2 linked regions of the Anolis sagrei genome follow. The protein of the gene in region 2 binds, or shares a complex with, the protein of the main gene of each other region. Links are inferred from orthologs where the notes say so. Each region holds a gene or a part of one and is shown on either strand. Other genes may lie near its edges.

Region 1 (7,135 bases), on a different chromosome or scaffold from region 2:
AGTCTAATAAAGCATACTGAATAACTGTGAAGAAAACGGTTCTGCATGACACATATAAGTAGCATGGCTGAATGTACTGCAAAAATATAATATAAGCAGCCCCCAAGTTGGGTTCTATAAGTTTGATTTTAAGTTGAATTTGTATGCGTCAGAACAAATATATTATTTAATTGCAACTTCATACACACACACACAAAAGCATGCATCCTTTGGATAGTATAGGGAAGGCTCAGAGGGCCCTTCCACATAGGATATCAAGGCAGAAAGTCCCATAATATCCGCTTTAAACCGGTTTATCTGAGTCCACACTGCTATATATCCCAGCAGATAATGTGGGAAGCTGTGGAAGGGGTCTGTCAGGTCTGGCCAGGGCTATTGATGGCAGGGAGATACTTCATTTACAAGGTTGCCATAAATCAAAGGGCCCTTCCACACAGCCATATAACCCAGAATATCAAGGTGGAAAATCCCACATTGTCTGCTTTGAACTGGGATATATGGCAGATATTGTAGGATATTCTGGGTTTCACAATGGTGTGGCATTGAGGGCTGTGTGAGTTGTGGAGTGATGAGTGTGTGCTGGGGAAAGCATTTATGGAAATTTCTAATTTCTTTGTGCAGTAGCACAATGACGATAGTTATTCAATTCTATATATATATATATATATATATATATTTGTGAAACTCCATATGTGATGCCTGTTTAATTCTGTTATAATGTTGTTTTATTTTAATGTGTCATATTTTAACTGTCTTGATCGGGCTTGGCCCCATGTAAGGCGCCCCAAGTACCTTCGGAGAGATGGAGGCGGAATACAAAAATAAAGTTATTATTGTTGTTGTTTATTCATTTGGTCACCTCATGGACCAGCTTTTGCCAGAGTTCCCTCTCAGCCATGGCCACCCCCAGCTCCTTCAAAGTTAAAGGTATTATTACTATTATTGTACTGACACAAAAACACAGCATGTCACAGCAAACGAGACCTATATGCTGGATTTCGTATCAAAAAAATCACAAGTCGAACACTTCCCAAGCGTATGTATTTTTGAATGATGCGCACTGATCCAAGTAAGGTGGCCTTTTGCAGTTGACAGACCATGATTTTGTCAATGTTTATTGCTTCCAAATGCCAGCTGAGATCTTTTGGCAGGGCACCCAGTGTGCCAGTGACTACTGGGACCACCTGTACTGGTTTATGCCAGAGCCTTTGCAGTTTGATTTTAAGGTCCTGATAATGGCTGAGTTATTCTTGTTGTTTTTCCTCAATGCGACTGTCACTTGGTATGGAGACATCAATAATCCAAACGTTTTTCTTTTCTACAATCGTGATGTCTGGTGTATTGTGTTCCAAAACTTTGTCAGTCCAGATTCGAAAGTTCCACAGTATTTTTGTGTGTTCATTTTCTATTATTATTATTTGTGTGTGTGTATACGCACACACACATATACTTGGCTGGATGAAGTTAAGTGTAACTCCATCCATGTGTGTGTGTGTACATATCTGTGTGTATATCTATGTATGTATATATATATGTGTGTGTGTGTGTGCATATGTGTGTATATATGTATCTATATCTGTGTGTATGTATGTATGTGTGTATATATATATGTGTGTGTGTATATATATATATGTATGTGTGTATATGTGTGTACATGTGTTTGTGTATGCATGTATATATGTGTATGTGTGTATATATATGTGTGTGTATGTGTATTTGTATACACACACATTTGTCTGGAGTTACACACACATGTATATGCAAGCTTTAGATAGCATAAGAAAATACAGTATATATGTGTGTGGGTATATATGGCTGGAGTTACACAGGCTGAGGCAGCATAACTTCCTTTTTTCAAAACTTAATAAAACCCATTGTATGAATCAGAATTTTTTTAAAAAAATTTATAACGTAAAGTTTTCTTTTACGTCGTTTTGAAGATCAAATGAGGTAGGTGACGTCCCCCATTTTCCATACACTGAGTAAACTGATTTTTGGCGTTGGTCATGACTCTTGCCAGCATAGCAGGTGTGATGTTGGCAGTTTCTTCCTGGATGTTGGCCTTCAAATCTTGTAGGGTCCTTGGACGGTTCACATAAACACGGGATTTCAAAAAACCCCATAGAAAAAAAATCACAAGGGGCCAACTCTGGAGAGTGGGCTGGCCACTCCAAATCTGCTTGAAAAGTAGGCCTCAATGGCCAAAGCACACTCCTCCCTGTTCCAACGCAGGATGGCGACTGAACTGTGTCAGGACAAAACTTTATATTCCCGCCTCTCGAACGAGACCACTAGCGCTCCGCTACGTCTTCAAACGAATGAATGGCACGCATTTTAAAAAAGGAAGTTATGCAGCCTCACCCTGTACTTAAATCACGTCCCTGTTCCGACTTACATACAAATTCAACTTAAGAACAAACCTACATAACTTTTCTTATTGGTAACCTGGGGGCTGCCTGTATTGAAGAGTCTACATTGTTTTATAATCCAGTTCAATCTGCATGATTAGGGCAGCAGTATAGAGGGAGGCCTGCTTCATCTCTCTTCAGGGAGGCACACACACAAAAGCGAGATGGCGATGGATACCTCAGAATACAAACTGTGTAGAGCAGGCCTGGGCTAACTTGGGCCCTCCCTCCAGGTGTTTTGGACTTCAACTCCCACAATTCCTCACAGCCTCAGGCCCAGGGGCCTGAGGCTGTGAGGAATTGTGGGAGTTGAAGTCCAAAACACCTGGAGGGAGGGCCTAAGTTGGCCCAGGCCTGGTGTAGAGACACAGGCTTGAAGGCAGCTAAGGCGGCGGCCCCATCCGATGGTCTTGAGTGGTGTTCTGCGGGGGAGCCCTTCCCCTCCTCCACTCCTCAGCCCCGGTGCGGACAGGGTTTTTATCGCGCGGCGAGAGCGTGTTCTCATTCCCCTCACCGGGCGGGCGGTCTCCATGGCGCTGCAGGCCTCTCTCTCTCTCTCTCTCTCTCTCTCTCTCTTTCTCCCAGGCAGGCGACGCCTCCCGGTCTCCAAGGGAGGGAAGGGAAGGAAGTCCAAAAAACGTCACCAAGGCCTCCCCCAATCGCAACACTCGGCCAGGGAAACCCCTCCAAAGGATTTCATGGCAACCCTGAGATTGCAAGACCAGGCAAGTAAACAGACCCAACTCTTCCAATGCCATCTGGATGTGTTGACAACTAAGCAACACAGAATATCAGGGCAGAATAACCCCACAATCTCTGCTTTGAACTGGAATACCTGAGTCCACACTGCCATATATCCCAGTTCCAAGTAGGATTTTATTCAGTTGTGAGGAAAACTATTAAAAGCAGTCAATGTGGATTATCTTGCTTTGATGATCTGGGTTATATGGCAGTGTAGATCCAGCCTAGTCATTGAAAGACTACAGCAAAATGTGCTGCAGAATGTCCCGCCAAAACAAAGTTTTTGCAATTTCATCAACTTTCCCCATGTTTTTTTATAATAGAACCAATTAGGAAATGACATTTATTGCAAAACAAAGAAAGGGACTTTTTTCATGGATGGTGGGCTTGTGAACTGGTGCAGGTCTATTGGAAAAGAATAATAAAGGAAACAAATAAAATGATTCACAACAAAGTAAAAAAAAAGAACCCAGGGATGTGCCTATTAGGGATATTCAGGGATAGATTAGATCAGTGGTTCTCAACCTGTGGGTCCCCAGATGTTTTGGCCTTCAACTCCCAGAAATCCTAACAGTTGGTAAACTGGCTGGGACTTCTGGGAGTTGTAGGCCAAAACACCTGGGGACACACTGAACAACCAGAGAGAGAATTTTGTTTGTACAGCTTTGTGGCTGCACGCATTACAATTGCCAAAGACTGGAAAGGGGAGAAAACATTAAGCATCAATGATTGGAAGGATAAACTGTGGGATTACACACAGATGGCTAAGATTTCTAGCAATTTAAAATATGAAAGTCATGAAATATTTGAAAGAAACTGGAAGCTGGCCTTAGCATACTTGATGGGAGAGCTAAAGAAATAAAAACAAGAGGAATTTATTGAATTAGAAGTATAGAGGGTTAAACAAGATGTGCATAAATCCTGCGGGGATCAGTGACAGAAGCCAAGGTGGCGGATAGCACTGGGGGTGGGTTGAGGGGTAACTACTGTGGGTGGCGGGTTGTCTACGTATGTGTATGTGTATGTGTACAGGGTTAGTCAAAATGCATAGGCCAATAAGCCATTCAATTGAATGGCTTATTGGCCTATGCATTTTGACTAACCCTGTATATTTCTGCAATATATATGGTTGGTGTATTATCTTTTTGAAAGAAAAGAAAAAGGAAATGACATTTACAACCCAGGAACAAAAATCATGTCACATAATGTTACTAAGAAGCCTCCGGTGGCACAGCAGGTTAAACCACTGAGCTGCTCAACTTGCTGACCAAAAGGTTGCTGGTTCGAATGTGGGGAGCGGTGTGAGCTCTTGCTGTTAGCCCCAGCTTCTGCCAACCTAGCACTTCGAAAACATGCAAATGTGAGTAAATTAATAGGTACCACTCCGGCAGGAAGGTAACAGCGCTCCGTGCAGTCATGCTGGCCACATGACCTTGGAGGTGTCTATGGACAACGCCAGCTCTTCGGCTTAGAAATAGAGATGACCACTACACCCTCAGAGTCAGACACGACTGGACTTAATGTCAGGGGAAAAACATTTAACCGCTTTGAGCCCCCCCAAGGGCTGAGAAAGGTGGTATGTAAATACTGTAAATAAATAAATACATATGTATGTGCGATATGTCATTACATTCTAAGCCAGCTGTTACAATCTGTTTATATTCAAGGAATTGTTGTACAATGTCAGTCACCAAGTTGCCCTCTGGACGGCACCAAGTTTCAGTTGTAGATTAGGTCCTCTTTGAGGATCGGGACATCCGTAGGGATACCAAGATGCTTGTTTATAAAGCTATTGTCCTCCCAACCCTGCTAGATGCCTGTGAGATGTGGACTGTCTACACATGCAACTCCTAGAATGATTCCATCAGTGCTCCCTCTGGAAAATCCTGCAAATCTCTTGGGAAGACAAGGGGACAAATGTCAGCGTGCTGGAAGAAGCAAAGACCACCAGCACTGAAGCGATTGTCCTCTGCCATCAACTCCGCTGGACTGGCCACGTTGTCCGGATGCCTGACCACTGTCTCCCAAAGCAGTTGCTCTACTCCGAACTCAAGAATGGAAAACAGAACGTTGGAGAACAGGAAAAGAGATTTAAAGATGGGCTCAAAGCCAACCTCAAAAACTGTGGCATAGACACTGAGAACTGGGAAGCCCTGGCCCTTGAGTGCTCCAGCTGGAGGTCAGCTGTGACCAGCAGTGCTATAGAATTTGAAGAGGCACGAATGGATTAAAAAATAAGGAAGGAAAATTACCGTCACAAGAAGAAATGAAATTTTGGACAGATGAAATGTAAGAATGGTGGCTTGAGACGGGTGGAGGGGAGTACTGTGGCGGGGGGGAAAAAAAAGGAAAAAAAAAGAGAAAAGGAGGGGAATTGTCAAAGCAAAACAATAAAACAACATGTTAAAGAGGTTGATGTATAAAATGCAATAGTATGTAATAAATGTGATAAATCAATAAAAAAATTATTAAAAAAAAAAAAAAAGAAGAGGCACGAATGGAGGGTGAAAGAGAGAAACGTGCCAAGAGGAAGGCATATCAAGCCAACTCCAACCGGGACCGCCTTCCACCTGGAAACCAATGCCCTCACTGCGGGAGAAGATGCAGGTCAAGAATAGGGCTCCACAGCCACCTACGGATCCACCTCCAGTACACCAATCTTGGAAGACAATCCTACTCGAATAGCGAGGGATCGCCTAAAGTCCCAAGGTTTTATCAGACAAATCAGGAGCTGATTGACTAATAACCCTAACCCTAATCCTTGGAGCATCTTGAGATGACTAACAGCCATTCTTGCAGCACTTTTCCTTCTGTGGGTCACATGGTGTCACAAAGTGATCCTGGAACCTTGATGTTTGCGAATTGGCCAAGGCCAGAAATGAATGCAAAGAAAACTCCTCTTCCTTGGTGTCATTCCCACTAAATAACTGTCAACAACCAAGAAGAGATAGTTTATAGCACAAAAGACTGTCTTGTTAACTTATGTTTTTTGGGGGCGGGAGGGAATTCTCAAACTTCTGAATGCTGAAAGGAGAAGAAATCTTACAAAATCCCCAAATGTGGAAAACAATATGATGACTACAACTGGCTCAAACAGATAAATGCAACAAAATAAATTCTTTTAATTTTTCCCCATAACAATTACATTACATTCTGACACTACAACCTAACAGTGTTTTGGAACCAAATTAATGTTACTGAATACACAGTGTTTAAGGACACCACATCACATAGTGGTTTCATTTCTCTTCACTTTAAGCCATGAGTTTTGGTTTGATAAACCAGACAGTGAAATGAGGTGTGCTACTGCCTTGTGGATTCTGGCATGCATCCACAGTTTAATGGCCATGACTCCATCCCACAGGATTTGGGTGGTGACGGTTTTCTAATGAACTATCCTGAACTCCAGCCCTAGAGATCTCTGCCATCACAAGCAGTAAATACTACATCAAGCTACAGATCCCAGGACCCCGTAAGGTGGAACTGTGGCAATTAAAGCAATATAATACTACTATAATTGTCTAGTTTAGTTTGTTTATACCAGTGGTTCCCAACCTGTGGGTTCCCAGATGTTTTGTTCTTCAACTTCCAGAAATTCTAACAGCTGGTAAACTGGCTGGGATTTCTGGAAGTTGTAGACCAAAATATCTGGGGACCCACAGGTTGAGAACCACTGGTTTAGACAAAAAAAACCCCAAAAATATTTTGTTTATCTCCCTACACCAAAAAGGAGTGAATTGCATCAGCATATTGCTTGCTCAGTTGCTGGTTTATTAAGCTTTAGTTCCTGGCTCAAAGTGATATGGACTATGTCCAAGAATTTTATAGCTTCTTGCTTGAATCATCTCCAAAATCCCTTTAAACAAAGATATATTTTATCTGGCAGTCCCAGCATTATGATTAATGTTGTAGTGAAGCATGAACTCTATACAATCAGTGTAAATCTGTCTAGTCTTGGAAATTATGGCTGATTCTCTGAGCAAATC
Region 2 (7,658 bases):
ATTTACAGAAGCACAACCTTGAGGTGACTAAAGCATGAACTACTATTCTACCATGTGACAATAACTTCCTCTGCACAGTCAAAAGTGAGAAAAAGTGCTTTCCCTGTGTTTGTGAAAGTCAAACCATTTACAAAACTATTTTGATGCTAGGGTCCCAACAGGATTCAGGTCATTACATTACAGTTGAGAGTTCTATGGTAGATAAAAATTCCAATGAGAATGTGAGATAATGCCCTGTATTGAACTGCTCATCAATTACTTTGAACAGTTAGGAAAAACTTCTCCCTGGTGAAGACAAAGCATTTTGGGGTAACAAGTAGGAGTGATCCCATGAGAATATTTCTATTATGGAATTGCTTCCTATTTCTATGATGAAATGAAGCAGATATTAAAATTGGCACCAACAGATATAACATTTGATACCTTTTTAATACTTAACATGACATGGGTTTATTGATGCTTTCATGAGAAATTTGGTGAATCAGTAAATGGTAACTGGAGTTTAATGCAAAACATCCAGTACATTCTCGAATTCTATTACAGCAGGCAATAAATCTAACCCTGCAAGTCATTTATCTGAACTCTTAGGCGATAAATATGGCCAGGAAAACCATCTATCTCAGTCAGTGGGTTATATATCATCTACTGTACTGCATCTGCCCTGTCTTAGTTAACGTCTCATCTTTTCTTTGAGTAATTTATATTTCCACATAGCCATTTATTGCTTATAGTTTAAATGCAACATGTAGGTCATTTATGAAGGGAAGAGCACAAATTTCAGAAGTGTGTAATGTTATTTCCATTTTAGACATGTTATACTGCACTAAAGAAAATTTTAAATATATTTATGACCCTTTGTTTCTCTTTATATTTTTCATTTTTGCATTGCTATCTACCGTAAGTGCAACAAAAAGGGAATTTAGAAAATAAAATAAAACCAGGGCCTATCAAAACTGGGATCCAACATATTATTTTCTTTACTAACCTTTAAGTAATTTAAGCTAGTAATGTTGCTTAGTTTGACTGAAATTGGGTTATGTATTTAGGCTTTACCAAAAGGAAAGATTCCTCTAATAAATTCGACTGAAATCAAAATTAGTTTTTTGTCCATTCTCCTCATAAACAAAGTCTTTAGTGAAACAAATACTTTGGTTTTTATTAAATCGCCAATGATAAAAGCAGATTCCATAGTGTTTACAAAAGTATTAAAAAATAAAATACAATGAAACCCAAGACAGCAGCTTGAGCAATCTTGCAGTAAGAGAGTAGTGAATACAATAGCAAGTTGTATCAATTGATGAAAGTTAAAATGCCCTGGCCAGAAAAAGAAAAGTTTGAGCAAACAAATGATTGCAACTTTGTTATTCCCATGGGAGATATCTGAAACTTCCAAGAGATCTTCAAGGGCAGCCCCAGCCATGGTGCATTTCCCTATATTTAGGCAAACGAGGCCCCCAAACCCATGATTCTAGCCAGATCTTGTATGTGGCATCAGCCTGACCCATACTGCTAGTGCTGAATTGTGTAGGATGTTGAAAAATGATGGACCCAATTTTAACCCAGTATATCTCATGGTGGGAACATGTTACAGTTACACCAAGTTGCAAATGGTTCTTACCGAGTTACCGTGTTTTAGTAGCCATTTGTTTGGGAAAACCAGAATCTCCATAATCTTTTGGAGAAAAATGGCACTCTCAATCATTTAAAAATCATACTTTACTTATTTATTTATTATTTATTTATTATTTGCACTTGTTAACCGCCACTCTCAGCCCGAGGGCGACTCGTGGCGGTGTACAGAACATAGAACATAAAGACAACAGTTTACAATAGATCGGGACCATAACACACATCTTACTAATACACAACTAATTAAACTAAAAATCCGCTTCGTCTTGTTTGGGGTCATAATCAATCTCGTAGTCATAATCCATTCCGGTGGTCATTCCAAAAACATAGCACTTAGTTGAAGGCCTTTTCGAAGAGCCAGGTTTTCAGGCCCCTGCGGAAGGCCATGAGGGAAGGCGCCTGTCTGATTTCAGCAGGAAGGGAGTTCCACAGCCGGGGGGCCACCACCGAGAAGGCCCGCTCTCTTGTCCCCGCCAGGCGTGCCTGTGAGGCAGGCGGGACCGAGAGAAGGGCCTCCCCGGATGATCTCAAGGTCCTCGTGGGCTCGTAGGCCGAGATGCGGTTCTCAAGGTATTTTGGGCCGGAACCGTTTAGGGCTTTGTAGGATAACACCAGCACCTTAAATTGGGCCCAGTAGCTGATCGGCAGCCAGTGGAGCTGGGACAGCAAGGGCGTAGTGCGCTCCCTGCGTCCCGCTCCGGTTAACAACATGGCTGCCGCGCGCTGGACTAGCTGGAGCTTCCGGGCCGTCTTCAAGGGCAGCCCCACGTAGAGAGCGTTGCAGTAGTCGAGGCGGGATGTGACCAAAGCGTGTACCACCGTGGCCAAGTCAGACTTCCCAAGATACGGGCGCAGCTGGCGCACGAGCCGAAGCTGTGCAAATGCTCCCCTGGTCACCGCTGAAACCTGGGGATCCAGGCTCAGCGATGAGTCCAGGGTCACACCCAAGCTGCGAACCTGCGCCTTACTTACTTAGATGATCCCTCCTTGGCCGAGTAGGATAGTCTTCCAGGATCAGAATTCTTGTGAGTCTGTAGGTGGCTGTGGAGCCCTATTCTTGATCTGCATCTTCTTCCGCAGTGAGGGCATTGGTTTTCAGGTGGAAGGTGGTCCCGGTTGGGTTAGCTTGACGCTCCTTCCTCTTGGCACGTTTTTCTCTTTCACCCTCCATTCGTGCCTCTTCAAATTCTGCAGTCCTGCTGGTCACAGCTGACCTCCAGCTGGAGCGCTCAAGAGCCACGGCTTCCCAGTTCTTAGTGTCTATGCCAGAGTTTTTTAGGTTGGCTTTGAGCCCATCGTTAAATCTTTTGAAGCTACAAGGCCATTAAAAGCTGATCAAGGTGGCCAATTGCAACATTCACACTTGCCTCAAGCAGACAAGAGTTCTTTTTCCCATCCTGGACACTCCACAGAGATATAAACCTCACTTGCCTAGTTTCCAACAGACCCCACAACCCCTGAGGATGTCTGCCATAGATGTGAGTGAAAGGTCAGGAGCCATACTGCTCAGAAAACTCACAGCAACTCAGGAATTCCTGTTTGCATTTGCAGATCTCAAGAGCTAGTAGCTTGGGGGAGGTGGTGGAGGGGGGGCGATTCTGTGTGGGATGTTTGTTGGTGGGGTTCAGAATGCTATTTGATTGTAGGTGAACTATAAATTCCAGCAACTACAACTCCCAAATGTCATGGTCTGTTTTTCCCAAACTCCACCGGTGTTCATATTTGGGCATATACTCAATCCGTGCCAATTCTGGTCCAGATCCAACATTGATTGAGCTCACAGTGCTCTCTGGATGTAGGTGAACTATAACTCCCAAACTCAAGGTCAATCCCCACCAACCCCTTCCAGTATATTCAGTTGGTTATGAGAGTTCTGGGTGCTAAGTTTGGTTCAATTCCATCATTAGTGGCAGGCCCATAGCCAGGATTTCGTTTTGGGGGGGCTAAAAAAAATTTCGGGGGGGGGGGTTTCGGGGGGCTGAGTCTGAGTGAAAGAGGGTCTAGCCTAGCAAACCTTTTGTATCATTACCCCAATACCCCCATGCATATGGGATATATTGAGTATGGTGATCAGATCATGATATGAATAAACATAACAGTTTAAATAATGCACCAGTAAGGCCTTTTCGCGAACCACCATGAGAATTTCGGGGGCTACATGCCTGATTAGTGGAGTTCAGAACACTCTTTGATTGTAGGTGAACTATAAATCTCATCAACTACAACTCCCAAATGTCAAGGTCTATTTCCCTCAAACTCCACCAGTGTTCATATTTGGGCAGATACTCAATCCATGCCAAGTCTGGCCCAGATCCATCATTGATTGAGTCCACAGTGCTCTCTGGATGTAGGTGAACTAGAACTCCAAAACTCAATGCCCACCAAACCCTTCCAGTATATTCTGTTGGTCATTAGAATTCTGTGTGCCAAGTTTGGTTCAATTCCATCATTGATGAAGTTCAGAATGCTCTTTGATTGGAGGTGAACTATAAATCCCATCGACTATAACTCCCAAATGGCAAAACCAATCCCCCACCTCACCGGTATTCAAAATTTGTTTGTATTGGGTATTTGGGTAAAATTTGGTCCAGCAAATGAAAATATATCATTACGATTCATAACAGTAGAAAAAAATACAGTTATGAAGTAGCAACTCAAATGATGTTATAGTTGGGAGTTGAGAAGGTTGAGAATCACTGCACTAGAGAGAAAAAATCCACTTCTAATCCGGTTTCTGCCTCCTGCAGAGTTCTGGGGTTTGTAGTTTAGTGAGGCTGTTAAAGGTACCTGAGTATATAATGCACTGTGGAGGAAGAAGACAAACACAGAGATGCTGGGCTTCTTCCTTCCCTCTGGGCTGGAGGAAGGACGAAGGCGGGCCCAGTGCTGAGGCCTTTGAGGCCACTCTCTGAGCTCCTCCTCCTCTTGCTGTTGCTCCTCCTCCTCCTCCCGCTGCTTCTTCGTTGCCAAGCGCCCAGGCTGAAGGCGGGCTGAAGGCGATTACACCGGGAAAAGGCCTTCGTTGCACGGCTGGGAAACCTTCTCGTGACTCCCCGCCTTTCCTTGCAAGCAAAAAGGTAAGTGCAACAAGAGCAACCCGGGGAAAAGCGCGCGCTCTTCGCGTTCGAAGCTCGTGCGCGCGGAAGGAGTTCCTCCCATTGGAGCTCCTTGCAATTATTGAATTGTGGGGAGGCCCCAATAGAGCAGGCCCAAGGCCCTGTAGAACCACAGCTCCCAGCACTGAACCCAGCTATATTCATTCTGTAGTCTAGCTCAGCCTTCCAAAGTCTCCCTGCTACAGCATATATTATTCTGCTGTACATGCAAAGACCTCTTTGTCTGCTATGCATTACAAACTGCTTGTGCCCCCCCCCCCTTTTTTAAAGTGGAAGAAACTACAGTGAGAAACTACCTACTTTATCCACCCTTTCTCCCCAATTTTCCATTATCGATATATTTATTTATGACATTTATATGCCGCCCTTCTTGCCCTGAAGGGGACTCAGAGCGGCTTACAAGATATATATACATACAATATATTATATTATTAGCATAGTACCATATCAGTATTATATATTACTATATTGTACTATACCATTTATATATATTACTATATTACTATTATTTACTATACTCTCAGCCTTATCAGTGATTCAAGGCGGTACGATATAATATAGTATATGTAATTATAGTGAATTTTCCTTCCAAGGGGTAGATTTCTCGCACTTTCTGTTGTCTCATTTCTGTTCTTAACTATGAGTCATTTGTGAAGTCAGATGTTTGTAACTTGGGGATTGCCAGTACTTTCCTCAATAGCTGATCCATGTGGTTCATCACAAATGTCACTGCCAATACATTAATTTTTTTTAAAAAAATAGAAACTTAGGAAATTAGTGGTAATTAATTATTGCAACTGAATTTGCCAAAGTTAGAACTGTATCTAGATTTGAACAGCACCAACACTCGACTTCTGTAGTGATTAAATCTGTCTGGATGGCCATCCATGGGTACTTTGAGTCTTTTTTTTTTTTTTTTAAATAATCTTTATTGAAATTTTCCATACATAGTATGTTTATAGGTAAAAAAAAGGAAAAGAAATAGAGAGAAAATAAAGAGAGGAAAGAGAAAAGAAGGAATAGAAAATTGATAGTAAAAAGAAAAGAGGGGTAGAGATGGGAGTAGAGGATAGATAGGAAAATAAGTTATAGAAGGAAAAAAAGATAGGATAAAATAGGAATATTTCGACCTCCTGGTGTCTTCCAAAAATCTTCTGTTCATTCGGTTTCATCTTGTCATAGAATATACAATCTAAGCAGAAAAAAAAAAGAAAAAAAAAGAAACAAGGAAAAAAGAAAAAGTTTCTTTATTCTTCTTCTCTTCTGAGATTTCTTTCCCCTCTTTTTTCTTTTTTTTGAGTTTCATCCTTAATTTCTTCTTTTCTCCTCTAAATCCTTGTCTCATTCATCTTTTTCCTTAGGTATTCGGTGACTTCTTTCCAATCTGTCTCTTTTCTTCCACTTTCCTTGTTTTTCAATAGTAGAAAAGTAAGTCTATCTAGGTTACTAATATCCAGCATTTTCGTTCTCCAGTCCTCTTCTTCTGGTGTTTCTATCTGCCTCCATTTTTTTGCATAGCACATCCTTGCCGCCGTTAATGCTAAGAATAGTATTTTGTCTTTATTGTTTTCTATATTGTTATCATACATTCCCAAGAGAAACAATTCTGGTTTCATTGGTAAATTTATTTTTAACATGTTTTGTAATTCTTTCTGTATCTTCTTCCAGTATTCTTTCGCTTTCTCACAGGTCCACCACATATGGTAGTAGGAGCCTTCTTTCTTCTTGCATTTCCAGCAGGTCGAGCTTGTGTTATTATATATTTTCCCTAATTTTTTTGGAGTTAAGTACCATCTTAATGACATCTTGATCCAATTTTCCCTAAGGTCTGTGGCATATGTGTATTTTAATCTTTTCCTCCAAATTTCTTCCCATTCTGATTGTCTAATATTTCTTCTTAGATTTTCATTCCATCTTTTCATGTAGTTTTTGTCTTTTTTGGATTCTAGTTGCCATTCTAAAAGCTGTTTGTATAGTTTAGTTATCGGTTTCCTTTCTGTTTCTAGTATTTTATCCCAAAAATCTTTACCCTTTGAGAACCCTACTTCTTTATCTAATTTATACTTCTCTTTGATTTGCCAGTATTGTAGCCATGATATTTTTTTATCTATAGTGATTAGTTCCTGTTGTTCCTTTAATATTACCTCTCCTTGATGGTTTTTCAAGATTTCTTTATATTTTGGCCAATCATTCCATCCCATACATCTCCTTTGAGTTGCCTCCAATGGTGAAACCCATAATGGTGTCTTTGTATGGAATTTCTTTTTATATTTTTCCCATACTTTCGAGATTGCGGATCTCACAAAGTGATTTCCAAAAAATTTTTCTTTTTCCCTTCCCTTGTACCAAATGTAAAGATGCCACCCTCCCCTTAGGTCTACTCCTTCTAATGTCAGTAATTTTTTCTTTTTTAGCATTGCCCAATCTCTGGCCCAGACCAGTGCGCTTGCTTCGTGATAAAGTTTCAGGTCTGGCGCTGCTAGTCCTCCCTTATCCTTTTGTTCTATTAAATTATTATAATGGATTCTTGGTTTTTTGTTGTTCCAGATAAATTTCTTTATATCTTTATTCCAATCTTTAAATAATTTCATATTTCTTATTATTGGCAAATTTTGAAAAATAAATATCATTTTCGGTAGTATTTTCATTTTAATTGTCGCTATCCTTCCTAATAGTGATAAATTTTTATTTTTCCAGTTTTCCATGGAAAACATGGGTACTTTGAGTCTTGTGTTGGCTTAAGGTGGTTGGACTAGGTGTTCTTTGGGGGTCTCTTCAAACCCTAGTAAAGTCTAGACTGCTTGAGAGACCAGTGGAGTCTCCTTCTCTGGACGTTTTTGAACTGAAGCTGGATGACTGTTTGGGGGGCGGCGGGCTTTAACTGTATTGACCAGGCATCCTCAAACTGTGGCC

Evidence for each region. Proteins that work in one complex are often made in the same cells at the same time.
Region 1: CC2D2A (region 2) and TMEM237 share a complex: the UniProt entries of both Homo sapiens proteins name them as parts of the tectonic-like complex. The link is inferred for Anolis sagrei from reciprocal best matches to the Homo sapiens genes CC2D2A and TMEM237.

Annotation. Positions count from the first base shown.
Region 1 is NC_090021.1:164,683,149-164,690,283, forward strand, and holds the start of TMEM237 (transmembrane protein 237), read right to left. Parts: upstream 3,041-7,135; 5' UTR 2,941-3,040; coding exon 2,923-2,940; intron 1-2,922. Other genes in the region: MPP4 (MAGUK p55 subfamily member 4), read right to left, coding at 7,111-7,135. UniProt on the Homo sapiens protein: Component of the transition zone in primary cilia. Required for ciliogenesis.
Region 2 is NC_090025.1:108,186,576-108,194,233, forward strand, and holds the start of CC2D2A (coiled-coil and C2 domain-containing protein 2A), read left to right. Parts: upstream 1-4,551; 5' UTR 4,552-4,706; intron 4,707-7,658. UniProt on the Homo sapiens protein: Component of the tectonic-like complex, a complex localized at the transition zone of primary cilia and acting as a barrier that prevents diffusion of transmembrane proteins between the cilia and plasma membranes.